Linked DNA regions of Bombyx mori. The protein of the gene in region 4 purifies or fractionates together with the protein of the main gene of each other region. This does not show direct contact. Links are inferred from orthologs where the notes say so. Each region holds a gene or a part of one and is shown on either strand. Other genes may lie near its edges.

Region 1 (5,719 bases), on a different chromosome or scaffold from region 4:
AAGGTGTGCGTGCGACTCATTAAAAGTAAAATATCCTTATTCAAATACTCAATCACAAATATTGAACAGGCATTTTACTATACACATTTAAATCAGAATTAAAAGTATAGTAATATTTCATACTGTTATATTTAATGAACCAGGTGAACACTATGAGTACCTACTTAGCCCCAATATGACCTCATATCAATGCCACAAAATTTGAAAACACAAAGTTTATGTTGGAATTATATACAACACATTTGTACCGTATACTTAAAATTACTGCCACACAAGCGAATTATATTTAATTACCTATAGATATCGGTGATCCATATAAAAATTGATGCACCGATGCTAATAAGATTATAATTGAAAATATCAAGTTAAATGTAGCTTTAGTGTGAAAACATACTTTTAGACAATTTTTTCTCCTCTGAAGCCATTTTAGCTCGATAATCACCGAAATGTGTCCTCATTAATTGTCTCTTCCTTATAATCGGCTGATTATTGTTTTTCAGTACAGTTAAGACTTTCCATGTTTCTTGCACTGAAATCAAAGTCAAATGGATATTGCAAATTTAGTAGGAGGGTAGGTACCGTGCAAATCGAGAATTTTAAATTAAGAACTTTTTTATGAAGGCACGTATTTTGATATTTTGATGTAGCGTATTTTTTAAAACTCGAACATCGCTAAATTGGATAATTTTTTTTTTAATTTGTCTTATTTTAAAACTCACATTGTTTTTCGTTTCCTTTCTTTTCATTTAAAGTTCGCTCTAACTGTTGGATACACCAACATAACTCGAGCTGAAACTGTCGTAACGATTCCTCGGGGTCTACACCTTCGGACTCATGTTTATCAATTTTACAAGGTTTCTGTAAAGATGTCGATTTGCCTTTATTGTGCAATCTTGTTGGTTTAGGCATTTTATTTATGATATTTTATATCGCCACGTTTTGAAACTTTGTTAATTCCAGAGAAGTTTTGATGAAGTGTAATCTGTGTATTATTATAATAACGGATGTATGTAACGTTCTCTTTGTAGTAACGAAACCAAGTCAACAGAGGACACTAACTTGGAAAAAACTGAAAACAAATTTATAGCATAGATAATTAAGTAGCATTTAGATCGGGTGCACATTGTCATTCCTGCCGGCACCAGTTTATTGTCTATGGTTGATACAGACTGTCCCGGTGACTATTTTATTTATTTATTATTGTACAATATATGCAATGCGATAGATTTTTATTTTAGACTAGCTGACCCGGCAGACCTCGTAGTGCTTCAATCGTTAAATAAAAGACCTAAACTTTTGTATAAAATAAACTTAAAACAAACAGCAGGAGTCCGTCCGACGGGGGACACATCAAAGGAAAAACAAATTGTTATTTTTATTTAATTCCAAGCATTTTCATATTTATCTACCTTTCAAACCTTCTCTGGACTTCCACAAATAACTCAAGACCAAAATTAGCCAAATCAGTCAAGCCGTTCTCGAGTTTTAGCGAGACTAACGAACAGCAATTCATTTATATATATATAAGATACGATAAGATAAGATAAGATAGATAGAAGATAGATTAAAGGTATTAAAAACTAAACTTCGCATTATGCCAATAGTTTGATGAATCGTTCGAATTAATTCTCTTCTGTACGTGTTATCAAATAAACCGGCCCAACCGATACGAATGAGTATTTCCGTCCGGGCTTAACATAGACAAATATTTTGAAGAAAAAAAATGTTTGCCAGGGAAGACCGCTGATGATTCTAATAATTCCTCAAATTTCTCATTAATATTAAGTTTAAACGAATCTTGTGTCTAATTTATATTTATGTACTCTATTATGGCAGATTAATCTCTACATTGGAAATCTGTAAGCTTAGCTCAAAAAATTTTATACCAAAAAGTTCACAAAGTTTAATTTATAATTAATAATTTTATTATTTAATTAATTTAATAGTTAATTTATGTATAATATAATTAATATAGCAGATTTTTCATAAAAACCCGTTCCTATGTAATGTTCCTCCTTTTAGTCGATACGCGCCTGCAATATTTCTTTACAATCATACGATCACATAGCGACATCCGGCTGTGACATAACGTTTTAAAAATTGGTACTAAAACGTAACCTTAAAGTTGTAAAAGCAATTCCAAAATTTCATAGTATGCCGCTTGGAAAATTTGGAAAAATTACTCTTTCGTGGTAAATAACTAAATAAGATATACCCAAGTTTATCACCAGCTTACTTTTGATTTACCTTTCGTTGGTGAGCGCAGAATTAAATTCGATTTTACTCATTTCATCATTCGTCTATTTAGCCAAGTTCTATTTTGTGTAAATATAATTCTACAAGATAAGTCAATTACCTATCACAGCGTATTATTATGCTCGCCTTTTATTACTTATTAATAAGAAAACATGAAAATTAAGTTATATACTCCACAACCTTGACTCTCATGTGTCTTCAGCCACAAGAAATCCATCAAAAATAACGTCATAACTTTGGAATAAACGTTAAAAGCGAAGATCTTCGAGCAAGCGGGTTTCATTTCTAGGGTAGACCCACGATCTTTTGTAAATATGCATACTTATCTTGGAAATGTTGTTAATGCGATTCAGTTATTTTGGAAATTACTTATAGTCTATGTTACCTTATACTACTACGCAAATACAAGACGAATCTGTATTCTAAATGAATTTGAACTCACGTTTATGCATTTAGATTAAAACTAGTGGATTTTATATGCATATTTTGTGGATTCTAACTTAATTAAAACTTGATAAGTCTAGTTTCTGAGATAAGTAGCTGTTATCGGCTGTTTCGCCTGTGGCGTTATAGAAATGTGTCAATTTAGTTTCCTGTGGGTATGAGATGTTTTTTTGGAATAAAAATCTCCTGACCTAAAACTATGTCAAAAAAATCATGTTAATTTATTGCTTCATTTTAAAGTGAATTAAAGACAGACAAGCACACTTTTTAATTTATACCATTAGTATCAACGTGTATGATGTAGTATGATTTTATTAATTAAGCTTAGTTATTTTATGTTACACGTTTCACAAATGTTCCAGACCCATTAGCAGAGAGAGGATGTTTTAACCCAGGATCGGTGTTAATTTCAGGTTAGCAATAACAACAGCAAGTTTATCATTATTCGTGGTGGCGAAGAACTACATTAATACTCAGCGTGTTGAGAATATGAAAGCAAGAGAACGCATGCGAAGATCTAATCAAGGAGAATACCCTGACTTGTATCGGAAATTGTGAACTTGAATTCATTATAATGTGAGTATCTCTCTAGTAACTCTAGAAAATACTGGTGAGTAACACTAAATTAACTGGTGATAGGACCTCATGTGAGTCCTCATGGTTAGGTACCACCACCCTGCATATTTCTACCGGGAGCAGTAATGAGTTTCGGTTTGAAGATTGGGGCAGTCGTCCTAACTATAGTGAGAGCTTTGAACCCATATCTCAAGGTGGGTGGCGGCATTTACGTTGTAAATGTCTGGACTCCAGATACAACTTAACACCAAGTGGGCTGTGATCTCGTCCGACTAACTAAGAAAAAAATTTGTATACAGTGTATGAATGTAACTAAAAAATATTTTAATCTACTGTAGTTTCCAGATATACCATTGAACATTACTTAGTTAAAACGTAAAGATGGCAGTACCGCAGCTAGACCCTGCAAAGCTGCAATTGGTGCAGGAACTGGAGATTGAGATGATGTCCGACATGTACAACCGCTTGGTGAGCGCATGTCACCGGAAGTGCATACCAATTAAATATCATGAACCTGAATTAGGTAAGCCAGGCAAAAAAAAATATGGCGAACATTATAATTATAGGGACCTTCAAAATTGTATTCATTGTGACACACAAATGGTTTATTAAACTGTGGTCGTCGTGGCCTAAAGGATAAGACGTCCGGTGAATTCGTATGTAGCGATGCATCGGTGTTAGAATCCCACCAGTAGTTACCAATTTTTCAATCAAATACATACTTAACAAATGTTCGCGATTGACTTCCATGATGAACGAATAATATCAAATAAAAAGTGTAATAGAAATCAAACCCGCAAAATTATAATTTGCATAATTACTGGTGGTAGGACGTCTTGTGAGCCCACTCAGATAGGTACCATCACCCCACCTATTTCTGCCGTGAAGCAGTAATGCGTTTCGGTTTGAAGGGCGGGGCAGCTGTACTGTTAAAAGTGACACCTTACAACTCATGTCTCAAGGTGTGTGGCGGCATTTACGTTCTAGATGTCTATGGGCTCCGGTAACCACTTAACACCCGGTGGGCCGTCTATCTAAGCAATAAAAAAGAAAAGAAAGATAATTATGACCTTCAATGTCCATTTGTTTCTTTTTAAGCCATCACACTTATGAAGTTTATGACCTATAGTTTATAATTATTATTATAAGCTAAGCTTTAGGGTTATACACTGTTACAGGACATCTACAAATACAAAAATATATAGATGATATAAAGATAGGTGATATTTAGAAAACTGATGTAGCATATGCTTTTAAAATAGATACAAGTATTTAAGAGATTTAATTGCCTCGCTTATATAGGATGAGTTAATTTTGAACATGATCTTCTCTTCTTACAGGAAAAGGCGAATCTGTATGTTTAGATCGCTGTGTAGCCAAATACTTGGACGTACATGAACGCATAGGTAAGAAACTTTCCAATATGTCACAAGGAGAAACCGAAGATCTCACAAAGGTCAACATACCAGACAAAAAATAGTACGAAGCTACTACTCACGACAAATCAATCAGTTGCTAGATTTTTCACAGTGACCAGTACAAGACATCTGCAGATTTGAGATATTTTGTTGTGAAAAATTTGCAGTAATATATAGGTGAAGTAGTCTTTCTATATATAATATTAATTCTGCCATTATGTCAGTACTTCACTATGAGAAAACAATCTACTATCACTAGTAATCTCGAGAGATTATGCTACCTTGGTCATCTACCCTAACAAGGGCAGTGCTTCACTTGTGACGTTTGGGAAATAATGTTACTCAATTTTGTCTGTGTAGTTCAAAATTCAAATTTTTATAACCGGTTCTGTAACTGAAACATTGGCTGAAACGCAATTGGTGCAATTATTTTGCCTACTTCTATGAAAACTATTTTTCTAAAACTAGTTTATTTTCATAATTAGTTCAAAGCTCTGTCCAGTGTTGTTACTTCATACGGCTATTCAAAAAAGTTATGTTTATTTATCTCTACACTACCCTCTATGGTACTCTCACAGCTCGACAATATTTTAAAGATACTGTAATACACTGTACTGTAATGCATAAAAAGTAGGATTATGTAAATTTTAAGACAGAAACTAGCGGTTACCGAATGAAACGACCATAGAGTTTAATGAACAAACAAATTTTATTAGCATTCTTTTTTAATCATAATTTAATACTGTTCATGTTTTTCAAGATCAATCAGCCATAAACTGTAAATTTTTTTTTTTAAATTTTTTTATGATTGAAAGATTACTGGTGGCCCGGAGTCCTTTCCAGTTTCACCAGGACACGTGGGACATGTTTTTTTATAAATATGCTGGAATGTCTTACGTGAACACGAAACTTAATTAAATTTATGCTTTTAAATTTCATCGTGATAAAAGCTGAATTGATTTGTCGTAAGTCAAAGCTTACAAAAGTAACGTTTACAAACAATGCGGAGACCGCGTTTCAGAATT
Region 2 (5,765 bases), on a different chromosome or scaffold from region 4:
GAACGTATTGCCTCGCGCCAGGATGGCGCCACCCGTTCGTGAAGGTTCACAATACGTCCTACCACCAGTAAGTGCGGCTAGCGAGTGCGTCGTGCTGGTATAGAAGTATTCTGGAAATGTTGCTGATCACACTTACAGAAAGAGACGGGCTTGTGTAAATCTAAGCCACGCAAATATTCCGTTCGAGATTAATATCAATGTATTACTTTACTTTCCGACTTCGGGAAGGATCGCCGTGCATACCGGAACGTTTCTCGATATTAGGGTCATAAAGTCGGACATCGGTGACTGCAACTTTTCAAATTGTACTTAGGTAGCACGTACATAAGTACATACTAAAGCACGTACATACTAAAAAAAAAGAAAAACCACACCATACAACTGATTCGGTGCAAAGCGATTTCTGTAAAAAGTATCAAAAGCTATGGTTCTAATGTCGGGATTTAAGTCCACAAATCAAACTATTACTTCGGTATAGTCGAATCCTTATGCTGAGTACTGATGAATTACCAGTATGAGTTGATATCGCTATCCTGCCTATTTCTGTTACAAAACAATACATGGCCCCTGGTTTGGAGGGTAGGGCAGTCGTGGTACTTATTAAATCAAATCTCACTTAAAAGTGACCAGCAGCGTTTACCTTGTTGTGTCGCTTGTAAACACTGAAATCCAAGGCCTGTAGCCCATCTGCACATCTAACAGTAAAAAAGAATTTTTATATTAATAAATTAATTCTTCTTCTTCTTCCCAATCGTGTCACTTATGAGGGAGTGCTCTTAGTCGTCATGTAGTGTTGGAGGGGACAGACTTGAGGCGTCTCACGATGTTCCGCCGTCTCTCCCTGCTCCCTACCCGCTCCTTACAGGACTCAATTAGGGAACCTCCCAATGTATTTTTAATTTGGTCGGTCCACCTCACTGACGACCTCGTGCGGTCTTGTTAATTAACGTCTTTTTTTCAGAAATCGTAGCAGCCTGTGAGAACTCGAACTAAGCAACAAAAGTAACTTGCGCTTAAGTTCCCGTTCGTTAAATTTGTTTCAAATACCATGTACCATATACCCAATTATAATAAAGTAAATATAAGTAGTTACTGTACATAATGTGTTCTTATTTATCCTAATTTAACGCTTAAATTTAACAATATTTTCTTCAGCATACGTCGCTTTACTTCACTTACACAACCATCATTGTTCGATATCAAGCCTCCAAGGTATATGAAGGATTGAACGACCTCGCAGTTGTTTGTAATCTGAGTGATATCTTGAAAGTTTGGTTTTGGCTCGGTCTGCAATCATCATTTTGGTTTTACTGCGCTTAAGCTTTAATCAAAACTCTTGGCTTTTGCGCTCAATTTTGAGAAGTATATATAAGAACAGAAACATCACCAAGGTCCCGGCTCGTACGAACTCTTGTTATTCCCCTAATTTTTATACGCACGGTTTTATACGGTAGGACCTCTTGTGAGTGCGCGCGGGTAGGTACTACCACTCTGCCTATTTCTGCCGTGAAGCAGTAATGCGTTTCGGTTTGAAGGTTGGGGCAGCCGTTGTAACTATACTTGAGACCTTAGAACTTATATCTCAAAGTGGGAGGCGCATTTACGTTTTATATGTCTATGGGCTCCAGTAACCACTAAACACCAGGTGGGCTGTGAGCCCGTCCACCCATATAAGCAATTAAAAAAAACGCTTGCGTCAGGTTGAAAAAAGATCGATGCTTTGGAGATGTGGTGCTGGAGACGAATGCTTGGTATTTTATGGGCCGAGCTTCGAAACAATATCTTCACTCTTCAAGAACTCTGCATTAATCAGCGCCTTTAAGCGCTCGTACATAGGCGCATAGTATCATTTTTCGGACATGTCTCCCGGTGTGGAAATGACTCTAGAGGGTGCCTTTTCGTTCAGGGCAAAGTAGAAGGTACCAGACCACGGGGAGGGTTGCCTATGAGATTGTCCGTCAAGTTAATAAATGGCGGCTATTTACATGAATGTATCAAGCTCACCACAAACCTAAGAAAGGCGATTGCTCGTGAGGCGCATAGCATCTGCCCACAGTAATGATGCTGTTTGAAGACCACGGTCGCTCTGACAAGAGTGATACGACATACGAAAAATTATATTCGATAATTTAGTAGGTATTGAAGATTATTAAACCACCACCTTAGGCTGAAAATTTTACTATCGAGCGGCCGTAAACAATTTATAAAAAAAAAGTCATAGGTCAACGTCAATGTCACGTGTCAAATTCTGCAAATTTATAAACATTTGACAATTTTGACATTTTAACTTGGCCCGAAAAAGAAAACATTCAGATTCTTTTTGAAAACTGATAAAATAAAATGTGGTACATGGATATTTAATTTGACAAATTATTCTGTCATATGTTAAAAGATATTACACTATTTTTATGCCAGGAAAATACTTCTCGGCAAGTTACGTTATTACACAACATAATTTGTATTTTCATGAGTATTTCTGCAATAAATAAGTACAAAAATGCCTCCACACCACGAGGAAGAAGAAGATAAACCTTGTAGAGCATGTTCGGATTTCAAAACTTGGGCAAAACTACAAAACAAAGGTTCAAAAACCGCGCCGACCAAACCGGTGAGGTTAAGTTGCAACAGCTATGATAACATTAATCAATTATAATTCAAAAATATTGCTTAATTGCAAATATACACATAGTGGTTGCGATTTTTTTAATATTCATAAGCATTGAAATTTTCTGTTCAACTTCAAATTTCTCAATCCTAACATTACAGCCTCCTCCTCAATCAAAGGAATGCCCTCTAGATAAAGAAGAATTAGGTAAATCTACATGGGGTTTCCTCCACTCGATGGCTTCATATTTTCCTGACAAGCCAACTAAATTACAATCGGAAAATATGTCACGATTCTTTAATATTTTTGCCCAATTCTATCCATGTGAACCATGTTCTTTGGACTTTCTGGATGAGTAAGCATTTTATTTCTGTACTAATAATAATAAAAAAAATATCTTTCAGTTCAACTTCTTTCAAGATTATAAGGAAATATTTAAAAAAAAACCCAACAGTAATTTGATCTGTTACTTTTCATTTACATAAATTTAAATACAGCTGCTTTAAAATTGTTATTGCTAGATAATTTGGTATTCTTAATTTTTACGAGGCAAGATATGACAGGATTTGTTACATATTACATTTATTTAAGTTCTTATCAAAATGTAACTAATGATGAATTATTTTAAAAGAGAAATAATGTTCCATTATAATGTGGTTTTCAATATAAAACAAACTCAAAATAAAAAATTATGGATTACAAAGACTTTTTTCTCTAGTTCAATAAAAAGTTATGAACATTTTTATGTCAGTTTCAGAATCAATCAACAATAGCTTGGCATATTGTATTGTATAAGTTATTTATAGTATTTCTAGTTGGCTAACTTACCTAGGTGCTCATTTTGGGTAGACATCTTTAATGTACAAATTTTAAAAACAAGTTTTAACTAATAGACTTGGCTTTTTTTTTAATAATCTGATTTAGCTAATCCACAATTATTTGTTGAAATTGATGTAATTGTTATAAAATTAACTTTAAAAAAACCTGGCTATCTACCTTGGTAACTTGATCTTTTTTACCAGTAAATAATTTTTCCTAATTTTCAGCATACAAAAGAACCCACCAAAGACAAAATCAAGGGATGAACTAGCAAAATGGCTCTGTGAGAGACACAATACTGTGAATGTAAAACTTGGAAAACCATTATTTGACTGTAGCAAAATTCACGAGAGGTGGAGAGATGGGTGGAAAGATGGCTCCTGTGATTAATAATAAATTAGGATAAAACTAGTATTTCTGACTTGGGAAACACATGAGTCGTCTATTATCAAAGGCGGCAATCTGTGCATTTGGACAACAAAATTTTATTGATATGTCAATACAGATTTATTTGAATATAATCGTCTCCTTCAAAGAATACGGTTCAAAACCTGCATTAAATAAAGGTTAATAGTTAACCTGTTATTTATCTAAGATGTCGTTCCGAAGAGTTTTGTGACTGCCGATGGAATACAAAGTCAATAATTCGTTTTTCTGATTTACCAATCATTGTCCAAAAGTCAGATTGCCGCCTTTGATAATAGTCGACTCAAATATTAATTTTGCCCTCAAGTTGAATATAAGGAAACGTCATTAGCATTTCTGTAGTAAAAAAGTCTTGAATTTTTTTAGATTTGTTCATTCAAATAATACTGTTTATTACTGTGGAGAAATACATGTTCATCTGGTAGTCAGTGAGATTATTTCAATTCAATGTTAAGATGTTTTTGTGATGTTTATAGTGAATTTTTACATTTTAATAAATATGAAATATTTATTTGTAAAATACATTTTTGTTCTGGTTTATTGGTATTTAATATAAAAAACCTTCATTATTCAACATAATATAATTATAAGGCTTGTATCCTACACTTCTACTTTCACCACTGTAAGGCACAATTCCCTTATAAATTTTAGTAATGCAACATTAAATGCAAAATTAAATTGCAACAAGGTTATATAGGTATACATATATAAATTCTTATTTAAGACCACTAATATCTGTTTCAGTATAATTACGGCAAAAAATGAAAAATACAAAAATGATATATATGTTAAAAGCCTCTGTATAAAATTCAATTATAAATTCACAAACTATCATAATGAAAAATGAGCTACACAGCCACCAGCCGTATTCTGCTTCCCTTTTGTCCGCCTAATTGCTGGATGCCTCGAGAGGCTATTCCAGCTTCACCGGTTTGGTGGGTGAGTTTACAGAACTTGCTAACACTAGCCTTAGCAAGATTAATGCTTTGCTGAATCTACCACCCGATCCCAATCGTGACCCACTGGGAAGATCTGCTGAGAAACTTTGTAGACTGTCTGTCAAGTTGTACGTTAAGCCCTTCGTCGCATTCCACGAGAATGGTGACAGCAGCTTAGGGTGCTAAAAATCGCCAAGAATGTTGTATACAGTGAGCTCAAAGTGGGGCTGTAAATTCGCACAAGCTATTTTATTTTTTATTTATTTCATTTACTTTAGATTTTGCATCCATACTATTCCATATTACATTCATTAGCATTTAATATAGTATACCAAAATTAAATAAAAAATTATTTAATTATATATTTATAAATATGTATTTGGTTTAATAAATAAAAAACAATTTGGTTTTATTACATATTTATTAAAGAAGAAGAGAGAAACGGGTTTTACCACATCTCATGCAATAAAATTATTTCATTATTAATTAGCCAGGTATTTAATTTAAACATGACGTGTCTAATGCTCTTCCCAATTCATCTATAATGTGTGCCGACTGAGAAGACATACCTTACTTTACATTTACAAAAAAAACAAAAGACATGCGAAGAATTCAAACCTGTGACCTCTCACAGGCAGGTGTACAAGAAACCGTGAGTTTTAATATTAATGTTACATTATGAGATGCCACATGTCACTTGTCATGTTCACTTATCTTCAGATGTCAAATTTCACATAGATAACATTCTAATGAAACTGTGAGTAGAGTTCACACTGACTTTCTCAGTGTCCTGCAGTCTTGGAGCGACTGCTATTTGGACTGTTCTCATAAGAACTCCATCTCTCTCTCGATTCCTACGAATTTCAATTGCTCAGTAGGTCCATATCTGAAAATAAAAATCCATTAGTTCAAATTACAATACAATAATCGAATGAATTTGTAAATAGCCCTAGCAAGGTAGTCAGCGGGGTGTGCTG
Region 3 (5,587 bases), on a different chromosome or scaffold from region 4:
TGAAATATCAATCTATTATACAACATTGTACTATTTAGATATTTAAAAGTTTCATTGTAAATTTTTTAGTTTTGGTGAGATTTCTGTTTTTTAACCACAGACTATAAATCTGTAATTCATCACATGTTGTTTTAAATCAAGTCTTAATCAAACATTTCTTTAATCTTTAATAAATAACCTCATTATTATACACAATAAAACTACGATGGTAACTTAAAATGTACCAAAAACTCGATATAAAGTGTCTAAATCGTACCTGTAAAGAATTTCATGCACAAACAGCTTATTAAATTCTGGCATATTTAATCTCTCTTTTGCATCTTCAAGATATGCAAAAATATGGTAGAAGACAAACAGGCCTCCACCCCATACTGTATGGTCTCTCAACGCTGTAATAAAATATTTTAAATTCAATATCAGAAATAACTTTTTCGCAAAAAAGAGATTTATTCTCAAAAACCTCCAATGAGAATGAAAGGTAATTTCCAAATTTTTCCTAGTACTTTTTAGTTGTTGATTATAATCTGCGCAATGAATTGTTTAATAGTATTATTTGCTCACATATCGCAAATTTCGCATTGACCAAGGCATCGCTGACAGAATGTATTTTCCGAGTCGCTTTTCTCATGCGTGTCGTGAATAGATCTTGTTCAGACATTTTCTTTTAGGATGAACAATTTAATCTTATATTCAACACAACAACAAACAAAGAAATACAGAATACCGATATTAGGTTTCAATTCAGACAATAACAATTTATTGAAATTTCATAAATCATTTTGATTTGTCATTTACCAGCTGATTTATTTTTTATTTTTTAAGTGATTTTATGACCTGGTAACTAAGACCTTTAGGTCATGTCTTATTTTAATTTATATTCTTATTTTTATGAAAAATGATAATATGGAGTGAAATGAAATGAAGAGGATTAATTTGAGACATTAATCAACTGGGATGAAATGAAATGAAATGATATGGAATGAAATATAATCTCAGTAAAATGGTAGTCATTTACTGAGATTTTTTCAGTTGACTTTTTGGAGGAACTCGAGTAGTTACGTCCAGTGGCTTTGTTTCATTTTCCCCCATTTGTGCACTATCACAGATATTAATCAGTTAATAAGCCACCGTTACTAATATACATAATACTCAGCAGTAAGAACCCACAGTAAGCTAGTGTTGTAATCTTTCTGACCAGCAAGACAGTAAGTACAGCGGGCTTGTGAAATAGTGTACTGAACTACTGAGTAGTAGCAGTGTATCGACCGTTATGAAAATCTGTAATTTGCTCGAAAAGAAATATTCCAATTTGTTGTATTCACTATTATGGATGGCTGTTCGAAAAACGTTTGTCCAAATATAATGTATTGATTGAACAGAACGAGTTTTAGCATTTGAAATTATAACAGGTTCTTACGAAAAATCCGTTCAAGTTTCAGCAAAATCCTACTATATAGCTTAGAAATAGTTTCGTTTTACTTTATTCAATTTCAACCCATATTATATCAACTACACCCGCACTGTCTTACTTTTCATTTAGCATAATATACAGACAATTTTTTTTTGCTAAAGGACTAGAATCTAATCCAATAAATATTAGTAAAAAATATATATTTCCGGTCAGTTCCCGATTCTCACACTTCGAGGCAAAGAGTTTGACTTTAATTAATCTGAAGTTCCGGTGCTTAATTAGATAAATTATAAAAGTAAACACATAATTTAAGCGGTTACTTATTTAACTGAAATAGGAAAGTTCTTGTATCGGTGTGTATAGTGTTGAATAGTTCCGTCGATATGGGCGATGTAAGAAAAATAAAGGTAAGTAAAAAACTAAATTATTATATTTTAAAAAGCTAATTTCAATTCCTATACATGTTATAAGTCTGGGTCATATAAACCTTTTCAATCCAAATTCTTCTTTAGTTATATTTGTAATTACTACAAAATAATGTTGATCTTATTTCATTTATTTTATGAAAAGAGTAGGTGTACTGCTTTGTTTATAAACTGATAAAGCTTATCTATTTGACATTTCATGTGTTACCTAACCCTAACCTTTTAAGTTAAGGTCTCGTGAAATCGTTTAAATAATAAATCAAAATGGCTTATGACTTAAAAAAAGAAGATGAAGTCAAAGATTATATAGAAAACATTGGAATAGAGTATCGCTTCGGTTGTTATAAGGAGCAAAAACCGGAAGTTTGTCATCTGCTAGCCGATTATCTAGAAGCTATCAAAAAAGACTTCGAAAAGGCCGCTAAAGTGTACAAAAGTAATTGTTTAGAATATAAATTCGGAAAGTCATGCCTGAAAATAGGTAACTATACATTAATAGGAAGGGGAAGGGAAAAGGGTGACCCGGCCGAAGCTCTAATTTATTTCGAAAAAGGTTGCGAATTAAATGACCCCGGTGCTTGTCTACATGCCGGGATGCTGCTAACGGCTACTGGACCGGGCGTTAACATACAAAGGGATGTCCCTAAAGGTAAATCAATATTAATTATTCATGATATTACCATAAAGTTTTCATAGACACAGATAACAATTTTAATTTAGGAATAAATGTCTTAACGTTAACTCAGGTTTTATTTTTATTTTTTTTATTGCTTATATGAATGGACGAGCTCACAGCCCACCTGGTGTTAAGTGGTTAAGTGGTATAGTTACAACGGCTACCCCACCCTTCGAACCGAAACGCATTGCTACTTCACGGCGGAAATAGGCGGAGTGGTGGTACCTACCCGTGTGGACTCCCAAGAGGTTCTACCATCAGTGATTACGCAAATTAAAATTATGTACGTATCATGCTTCTAATGTATATAGCTGCTACTTCAGTGGAAATAGAAGCTGTTACTTCAGAGTCTTATTTTCATGTTAGGTTCGTGGCATGTCACCATCCATGAGAGAATTAGACATATTATGTTGAAATAGAAATATTGTGTTGGTTGTGTTGATTCTGCTGTATGTACCTTATCACTAATACCAACCTTGACAAGTTTTTGTATATGGCCATACTACTCTACTAGGGCCAATTTATTATTATGAACAGGCCTATTGTTGGTAATAAGTCTGATATTAGGATTATAGATTGGTCTGTGCGTCGAGTAGTATTGGTTAATATCAACATTCCCCACAACGAGAACCTCATGAAGGCAAAAAAAGATAAATTAGTACAGGTTTCTCCCATATGACATGTTAATTCAAGAGTCATTGATCCAATAGTTGTGTCAATGGACATAGTGACAGCAATAGCACTGAAGCTCTAAACTGCTGGCTTGTGTTATAAAAACTGCCCACCACGCCAATTTATTTTTCTATACTGTTATTTTAATTTGTGTTTTTATCCTGGGAAAATAGTTAGAGAAAAAATTTTCCAAAAATATATTTAAAAAAATATGGTATTTTTGTCAACAATAATACAACACTGTTCATTAATAGAATCATTCAATTTCAGGATACAACTGCCTCAAGAAGAGCTGCGATCAAAATGATGATATGGCGTGCCACTACCTCTCCGGAATGTATCTGACTGGTGTACCTAAAAACGTTCAGGATTTCAACCCGCATAATCCTGAAAAAAATAAAAACATAGATTATCTAATAAAACCAGACAAAAAAGAGGCGTTCCGTTTTGCGAAAAGAGCTTGTGAATTAGGTAATATGTTTGCTTGTGCCAATGTCAGTTTAATGTACAAAAAAGGTGACGGAGTTGAGAAAAACCAGGATGAATCAAAACGATTCTTTGAAATTGCACAGAGCTTGCAAAAGGCGCATGAAACTACGAAAGAGATTAAATTTCAACAAGGTTTGGATGGAAAATAGTATTATATGAAATACTTGTTAAAAATCAAATAGAATATTCGTTTGTGTATTGTTTAAAAATAAATTATTATAAATATTATGTTGTTTTATTTAATATGAAAATTTTGTCGTAATTATCTGAACACATTTGAATTCGAATGTATCGAATTGGTTGAAGAGGTCTTGGAATGTTTTCGTTATATTTACGTTGTTTTCGTTATTATTTGTAAGTGTCTTCTAGATTTTGCATGCATCCTATTTTTATTTCCTACTTAAGCTGATAGCCTTAAAATACTATTTCAGCGTAACCATAACTAGAAGGTGAGCTCACGGGGCTCAAACCGGAGTGATGCTAACACTGACCCTAGCAAGAGCAGTGCTTCGCAGAATCTACCACCGGATCGGAAACGCGGCTCACTGAGAAGATCCGGCGGGAAACTCAGTGGGCTTTGTCTGTTAATTTACTTGCCGAACCCTTGACAGATGTCGGATCGACGAGAACGATGACCGGATAGTTTGTTTTTATTTGATGACTGACATCTTGTTAGCGTTTTTTATATCTGTCCTTAACATTATTTTTGTCGTTTCTAATTAAATCATACGGTGAACGATACTCACCTCTCGAGTGCAAAGGGTTAACACCATATTTTGATACCTATAAGCGCATTGCAGGATTTGCAGCTTAAGTGTTTTTCTTTTTCGTTTTCTCAAACAGATCGGAATTATCGGAGGTTCGGGCTTCGATGATCCGACGCTTTTCGAGAATCAAATCGAAAAGGAGGTGGTCACACCGTTTGGGAGACCCTCGGACGTACTGATAGAGGGTCAAATCAAACGGGTCCAATGCGTTCTGCTGGCACGACACGGCAGAAAACATCAACTTCAACCTAGGTTGGTCATAAACTTTAGTTAATATATCACGATTTCATTGGCGCTGAGCGTACATACCGACCCTCGTCTGATTTCAATTGTCGGAGTATAATATATGCATTATATATAATATATAATATATAATGCATGCACGAGCAATCAATATTTTTCAATTACCAACCGTTAATAATTAAATTACAATTTGTAGAATTACGCATATTATGTACATCTCTAAAAGTTTTAACCCAACTAAACGTAATCTAAACGTAATACTGGTGGTAGGACCTCTTATGATTCTGCGCGAGTAGGTACCACCACCCTGCCTATGTCTGCCATGAAGCAGTAATGCGTTTCGGTTTAAAGGGTGGGGCAGCCGTTACTTGAGGCCTTAGAACTTATATCTCAAGGTGGGTGGCGCATTTACGCTGTAGAAGTCTATGGGCTCCAGTAACCACTTAACACCAGGTGGGCTGTGAGCTCGTCAACCCATCTAAGCAATAAAAAAAATCGAATATAGGTACAATATAATAGGTACAATAGGTATAATTCGTATAGATACGTGATTAAAACTAATTTTGTGGTACCAGTCGTCCGACATCACTGACGAAATAATAAATAAATGATATAATATTATAATGACACTAAAAATAACTAGATTAAACCGTAAAATTAGCTTTAGTTGTAATGTATACCTAAACTATAATATCTCTAAATACTTTTAATTTTAGCGATGTGAACTATCGAGCTAATATTTGGGCACTGAAGCAAGTCGGCTGCACTCACATCCTCGCCACGACCGCCACTGGGTCTCTAGTTGAAGAATACAGGCCTGGGGATCTGGTCATATTGGACGATTTCATTGATAGGTTTGTTTATAGGTTTTTTTTATTTTTTGTTGCTCTTGTAGGCAAACGAG
Region 4 (5,859 bases):
AAATATCTATCATTATTATATATTATACATAGCTGCCATCTAATATCGTTTATGCCTTTGCGATAGAACTCTGGTAATCTACATTCTACAAACTGTGTGAAAGCACTTCCTCCCGGGAAGAAAACTTTATTCACGTAGAAAATTGTCCAAATCACGAAAAAAAATGGTAGTCCATTGGAGCAAGGTCTGGTGAATACGGAGGGTGACGAATGATTTCTAATTGCAGTTCTTGTAGAGTTCAAACGGTTTCTCGTGCTGTATGAGGTCTCGCGTTATCATGGAGCAATAATAGTGAAGATCGATTTACGGTACTATTACCTTTTAATTGGTAAGCTTTGCTTTAGGACACTGTTGCGGCGTTTGACCTGGAGTCAGCCATTGCATTTTTCGCTTACGGTTATCGTAAAGAATCCACTTTTCATCACATGTCACAATTCGATCTAATATTCCCTCATTTCTGTATCGATTCAACAAGGCAACACAAATTTCAACACGCGTTTCTTTCTGCAGACCAATCAAATCATGAGGCACCCATTTTTCATATTTTTTTCATTTTATTCATTTGACGCAAATGAGTCATTTGCGTCAAATGCTTTTTTTCTGCCGATGCTGATAGCCTTGAGAGGCTATTTCAGCTTCGCCTTGACGTGTGGGTGAGCTCACGGGGCTCAAACCCGGAGTGCTAAGACTGGCCCTAGCAAGAGCAGTGCTTCACAGAATCTACCACTGTGAAGATCCGGCGAGAAACTCAGTGAGCAACATAAAGTGCATTTTAAAGTTTAAATAAATAAAATAAATGTCCCACAGAACATGTGGTTGTAGCTAGGCCACTCACTTGCCGTAACATACCCAACCTACAGAACCTCAGAGACGGGACTAACAAGACGCCTTTTATGAACCAATTTCACAGATTCATTTAATTTGTAATTAAAGCTGCCTATTAGTTAACTATTTTTAAACGATAAATAGCATTGCTTTTAGAACTGTTATTCTGGGTTCAAAAATCATATTGCCCTCTAACGGTTCCAATATTCAACATTACCGCATTGTTTCATAACATGTTGCATGTGTTGACAACGATGACTCATAGATGGCGCTAGCTGTATGCCAAAAAGGTTGTGTAAAGTAAAACTGGGGTCGTTTTTGTTAAATTTATAGTGAACTCAGTCTAAAACGGGACAGCCTTTAATGGAATTACATAACTCAAAAAAGTATTGTTGTTATTTTAAAATATCGGTCAAAACAAAAAGTGGGTTCTTCACGTATCTTGTAAAAGATGTAGAAGAAATCTAAGCTCCTGGGCTTCAGGTGGAAACAGGTCTTCGAATTTTAATATGGCAATGAAATGGAGGAAATTAACTATCCAATCCACTGGTTTATGATCCAATCCGAAAATGACAGCTACTTCTGTTTTACAAACACATTTGGTTTTAATCACAACAACAAAGCTAAAATTATAAATACGAATATTTCCTTCGGTTACTAAGCCATATTTTTATCGCTGGGTAATCCGTTTGCGAATTCCCGGTTGAAGGGGGTAACAGACCGGGTTATGTCGCACTCCGGCGTCTCCAAATAAGAAGAGTTAAAAGAGGAAAGCTGAAGTCCTCCTCCTCCTCCAATTCCTCTCAGGAGACTAAGCCTTGAAAAAAGCTATGACTACCGACTAAATCCCATCGAGCTACACCACACCAGCTAGAAGAAGCATAGTGCGCGGCGAAAGTCCGCCTTCGCCGGTATCCGACAGCCCCTATCCTGATGATAGGACGGGATTTCAACCCCGGGAAAATCCTGAAGGACGTCGGATCTCAGGAGACACATCGTGGGCAGTGCACAAGAGCCACCTTGCACTGCCTCACCACCGGACTAACCGTTGAGTACCGCCGGACACCTCCGCACCCGGCACTCGACAGCCCCTACGGGGCCGAGCAGGGGCCTCGCGCCCGCGTTTCCCTCCCCGCTTATACGCTGAGGAGCCGTAGAGGGACCCTTTCGCGCTCCTCCGCCTCATGGAACGCTATGACCAGGTAGGAAAACCTGGCCATGGCCTCCCACGAACTCTGTTCCTCTAACATCTGAGGAATTGTTTGAGATAATACCATCATCTCGTTTTTACCATCGGACCGCCCGCCACCGGAGTAGAGTTCATCCATACTACCTGGAGCCACTGCGTTCATCCACAGTGCACTTCCAGAGATCTTTTTTGCCACGTACCATCCGGCTTTGGAATGAGGTCCGCTCCACGGTGTTTCCCGAGCGCTATGACACATCCTTCTTCACACAAGGCTTGTGGAGAGTATTTAACGGTAGACAGCGAGTTGGCTCTGCTCCTGGCATTGCTAAAGTCCATGGGCGACGGTAACCACTTACCATCAGGTGGGCCGTATGCTCGTCTGCCTATAAGGGTAATAAAAAAAAACCTCGATATCTGATTTCTAAGTCCCAGTTTTACAGAACGGCTGCCCCATCCTTTAAGCCCAAACGTATTATTAGTACGGTGTAGTGTGCAACTCGCCTAACCTTATATTTGTAACTGCACACACTAAATTGTGACAGAATTACATGAATTGTCGACTTGAACAGTTCTATTTTATTTCACCTACAACACTCCAATACAACGGTAACGGCAGTAATGTACCTAGATACTACCTAGTGGTACCTAAGTACCTATCTGTGTGGATTCACAAGACGCCCTATCACCAGCAAAAATGTTAGCACAACAACAGTTCTTTTTAGTCCTTATCATAGACAATGTGAGTAAATTCTTTGTCGAACTTATTAAAAAAAAGGCTAATAACCTATAAAAATAAATAATGTCAACTGTCACTTCAACGTTCAGATATAAATCAACATTTTAGAAATGAAATAGGGATACATAACATTGTGATCAGTTTTATTTCAATAAAAAAATTCAGGGCGTCTCTGAATTTAGTGTAAAGCGAATGTTGCCTCAATTCTTTTACCTCCAAGTTGAGTAAGTGGCAATCACGATTTATCCATCAGTTAGTACACAACTAAAGAATCAGAATCTTGAATAAAAAAATTATAGTTTAAAAAACCTAACAAAATACGCTTTTAAAGAAAATCCAACAAAAAAATAGAAAATAAATTTTAATAAATTTTAATTTAAAATAGTGTAAGAAAAAATGATATTATTGTAAAAAAAAAAAGCGTGGGTTGCTTTTCAGGATATTATCAAAATAACCCTTCTACTCATATATGTTCATAAAATATTTATAACTACTGATACCATGCACCCCACAATTTTTTTACACTATTTCAAATTCAAATTTATTTAAATTTATTTTCTATTTTTTAGTTGGATTTTCTATAAAAGCATATTTTGTTAGTTTTTTTAAACTATTATTTATTGTTCATTTTTTAGTTAAATTTGATTTTTTTCAATATTTTTTTAATATTGAATTGTCATCAGTCCTTAATAAGTATACCAAAATTTGAGTTAATCTGTCTTAATTAATGTTAATCTTTCTGTTCTGTCTCCCCAGTATTACTTTAAGTACAATGCCGATTAAAGTACATCTACTGCACTGCTCAACACTACATCAATTTTAATGATATTTGCTGTATTTATAGGTTTGCCATTGACCAAGGTGGCTTAACACGAGACTGTATTGAACAAATGTTAATTTGTTGCAATAGTAGTTTTTTGAATTTTTGTATATCAAATTTTGATATGAGGGGTAAATTGTATAAGTTAGCAACACTATAAAATAAAATATATCTGTTAGTTATTTAGACTAGTCAACTAGAAATAATTTTAGTTACTTGTAGGTGTAACAGTGCACAGAGTGAATTATCACTACGGCGTTTGGTAGAAGAAGCGTGCAAGACATTGTTTGGTGAAGTGGGGGGCTCGATACCTGTGGATGTGCTATCAGTGCAAGACAAGACAGCTGTATTGCGAGTAAATAGCACGGAGTTCAGGAAAGTCTGGGCTGCTCTTACAGTAACTACCCAGTTACGAGTGCATAAGGTGTCTCCTTCACTACAGGCACTTGTATAGGCAGTGAGTGTCACAGTTAAATACATAATCTTACATAAGTCACAATCTTGATTTCATATTGTAGGGATTTAACAAATTATTTATTTGCTAGAATTTAGGATGATATTTAAAAAGCATACTTTATGCCCTTAAATTCATTCTTCATATTCAAGATATGAAAATATTTTTATATATTACATGCTCATTGAGTGCCTTGTATTGTTCAACACCCAAAGAAATGAATAAACTTTGAACTACACTCAAATTATCACTTGTGCCAAATGTGCATCCTTGTTACCTGGCTGCTTAACAACGATAGTGTTTTTTCAAGAAAAAAACTGACAGCATAAAACTGCCAAACAGAGAGGTAATAATGGGTATAGATAAACATTGAATAATAATAGAAGCACAGCGAAACTTCAAAGCTTTCAAAGTTTCAAAGAAAAGAAACTATGGAACTTGGAAAATAGGAAAAGAAATTAAACAAGCAATAATCAAATGACATCAGAAAAACAATAGAAAGTCTCTGGCAGTTTTTTTTATTGCTTAGATGGGTGGACGAGCTCACAGCCCACCTGGCGTTAAGTGGTTACTGGAGCCCATAGACATCTACAACGTAAATGCGCCACCCATCTTGAGATATAAGTTCTAAGGTCTCAAGTATAGTTACAACGGCTGCCCTACCCTTCAAGCCGAAACGCATTACTGCTTCACGGCAGAAATAGGCAGGGTGGTGGTACCTACCGGCGCAGACTCACAAGCGGTCCTATCACCAGTAATTACGCAAATTATAATGTTGCAGGTTTGATTTTTATTACACGATGTTATTCCTTCACCCTGGAAGCCAGTCATGAACATTTGTATAAAGCCTGTGTCATTTCATAGAAAGGCAAATAAACTCACAGTCAACCTGGTTTGAACACATCTTTAGGGATGAGGTGTAAATCTCAATTTTAGGGTATAATGGCTGTTCCACCCTTTAAACTAGAATGCTCCTTTTGTGGCACAATTAAGTAGCAAATTGTATATCAGGCAGTACAAATGTATTTAAAGTGGATGCAATATGCTGTAATAAGTATCATAATAACCTGTGTATTGATTTTTTTTTTAAGATACAACATGTCGTCTCCATCAATTCTACCTGCTGGGTCAGGCAACAAAGATATAGTGATTGTAGCATCACGCGAAGAGTTGTCTACACCAAGTAGAGTATCACTCCCGGACCCTGAACCGACACCTGGCCTCATTCTGGCAGATGGTTCCATCAATTGGGGATGTCCATGTCTTGGGGGTATGGCCACTGGTCCTTGTGGGATACAGTTCCGTGAGGCATTTTCCTGCTTTCATTACAGGTTCGTATTTCAATTCTTTGATCAATATATTTCAGCTCACTATCTTTTCCAACAATTCAAAAGACAACTACCATACATCCTTTGAAAGAATGCATGTCTGTATTTTCCAAATGATGACATCTTTTGTTTACTGTAGAACATACGAACTGTAATAATGAGGGTTGCTCAGTCCAGCAACTGGAACCCCGAGCTCGCTAGTATCACTTGCACTCAGGCCCTGTTGCTGAAGTGTTCTGAATCCAGTGGCTCTCGCAACTATTACATAAACTTTACAAGAAACGTGAACTGTCGTTTGTCTGAGCATGTGCAGAGACTACAGGTTGCACTACATGTGTTGTTTCTGTACAGTGAGGCGGACCCAAAGGGTAGCGATTGTTACGAGAAGTTCAGCGTGATGCAACAGTGTATGGCGGAGTACCCCGACCTGTACGGTCGCGACGACGACGACGAACTCGCAGAGGCGCTCGCCGGCTCCGATACTGCCACCGCCCCTGCCACTGCCAC

The links.
Region 1: the proteins of mitochondrial intermembrane space import and assembly protein 40 (region 4) and Tim10 purify together in Homo sapiens (co-immunoprecipitation; 4 studies listed by BioGRID and IntAct, with this or other methods). This does not show direct contact. The link is inferred for Bombyx mori from reciprocal best matches to the Homo sapiens genes CHCHD4 and TIMM10.
Region 2: the proteins of mitochondrial intermembrane space import and assembly protein 40 (region 4) and FAD-linked sulfhydryl oxidase ALR purify together in Homo sapiens (co-immunoprecipitation; 3 studies listed by BioGRID and IntAct, with this or other methods). This does not show direct contact. The link is inferred for Bombyx mori from reciprocal best matches to the Homo sapiens genes CHCHD4 and GFER.
Region 3: the proteins of mitochondrial intermembrane space import and assembly protein 40 (region 4) and cytochrome c oxidase assembly factor 7 homolog purify together in Homo sapiens (co-immunoprecipitation; 3 studies listed by BioGRID and IntAct, with this or other methods). This does not show direct contact. The link is inferred for Bombyx mori from reciprocal best matches to the Homo sapiens genes CHCHD4 and COA7.

Annotation. Positions count from the first base shown.
Region 1 is NC_085130.1:5,898,972-5,904,690, reverse strand, and holds Tim10 (mitochondrial intermembrane space translocase subunit Tim10), read left to right. Parts: upstream 1-2,126; 5' UTR 2,127-2,256; intron 2,257-3,113; 5' UTR 3,114-3,276; intron 3,277-3,614; 5' UTR 3,615-3,657; coding exon 3,658-3,799; intron 3,800-4,616; coding exon 4,617-4,756; 3' UTR 4,757-4,815; downstream 4,816-5,719.
Region 2 is NC_085117.1:20,076,021-20,081,785, forward strand, and holds FAD-linked sulfhydryl oxidase ALR, read left to right. Parts: upstream 1-2,241; 5' UTR 2,242-2,497; coding exon 2,498-2,608; intron 2,609-2,766; coding exon 2,767-2,960; intron 2,961-3,651; coding exon 3,652-3,814; 3' UTR 3,815-4,388; downstream 4,389-5,765. Other genes in the region: cytosolic Fe-S cluster assembly factor nubp1, read left to right, coding at 962-993; histone-lysine N-methyltransferase E(z), read right to left, coding at 5,614-5,674.
Region 3 is NC_085134.1:3,289,162-3,294,748, reverse strand, and holds cytochrome c oxidase assembly factor 7 homolog, read left to right. Parts: upstream 1-1,818; 5' UTR 1,819-2,100; coding exon 2,101-2,485; intron 2,486-3,454; coding exon 3,455-3,822; 3' UTR 3,823-3,896; downstream 3,897-5,587. Other genes in the region: Mtap (5'-methylthioadenosine phosphorylase), read left to right, coding at 1,795-1,818, 4,517-4,692, 5,400-5,537. UniProt on the Homo sapiens protein: Required for assembly of mitochondrial respiratory chain complex I and complex IV.
Region 4 is NC_085131.1:14,549,503-14,555,361, forward strand, and holds the start of mitochondrial intermembrane space import and assembly protein 40, read left to right. Parts: upstream 1-2,556; 5' UTR 2,557-2,753; exon of another isoform or gene 2,754-3,002; intron 3,003-3,594; exon of another isoform or gene 3,595-3,642; intron 3,643-3,782; exon of another isoform or gene 3,783-3,792; 5' UTR 3,793-4,027; intron 4,028-5,115; 5' UTR 5,116-5,122; coding exon 5,123-5,355; intron 5,356-5,703; coding exon 5,704-5,859.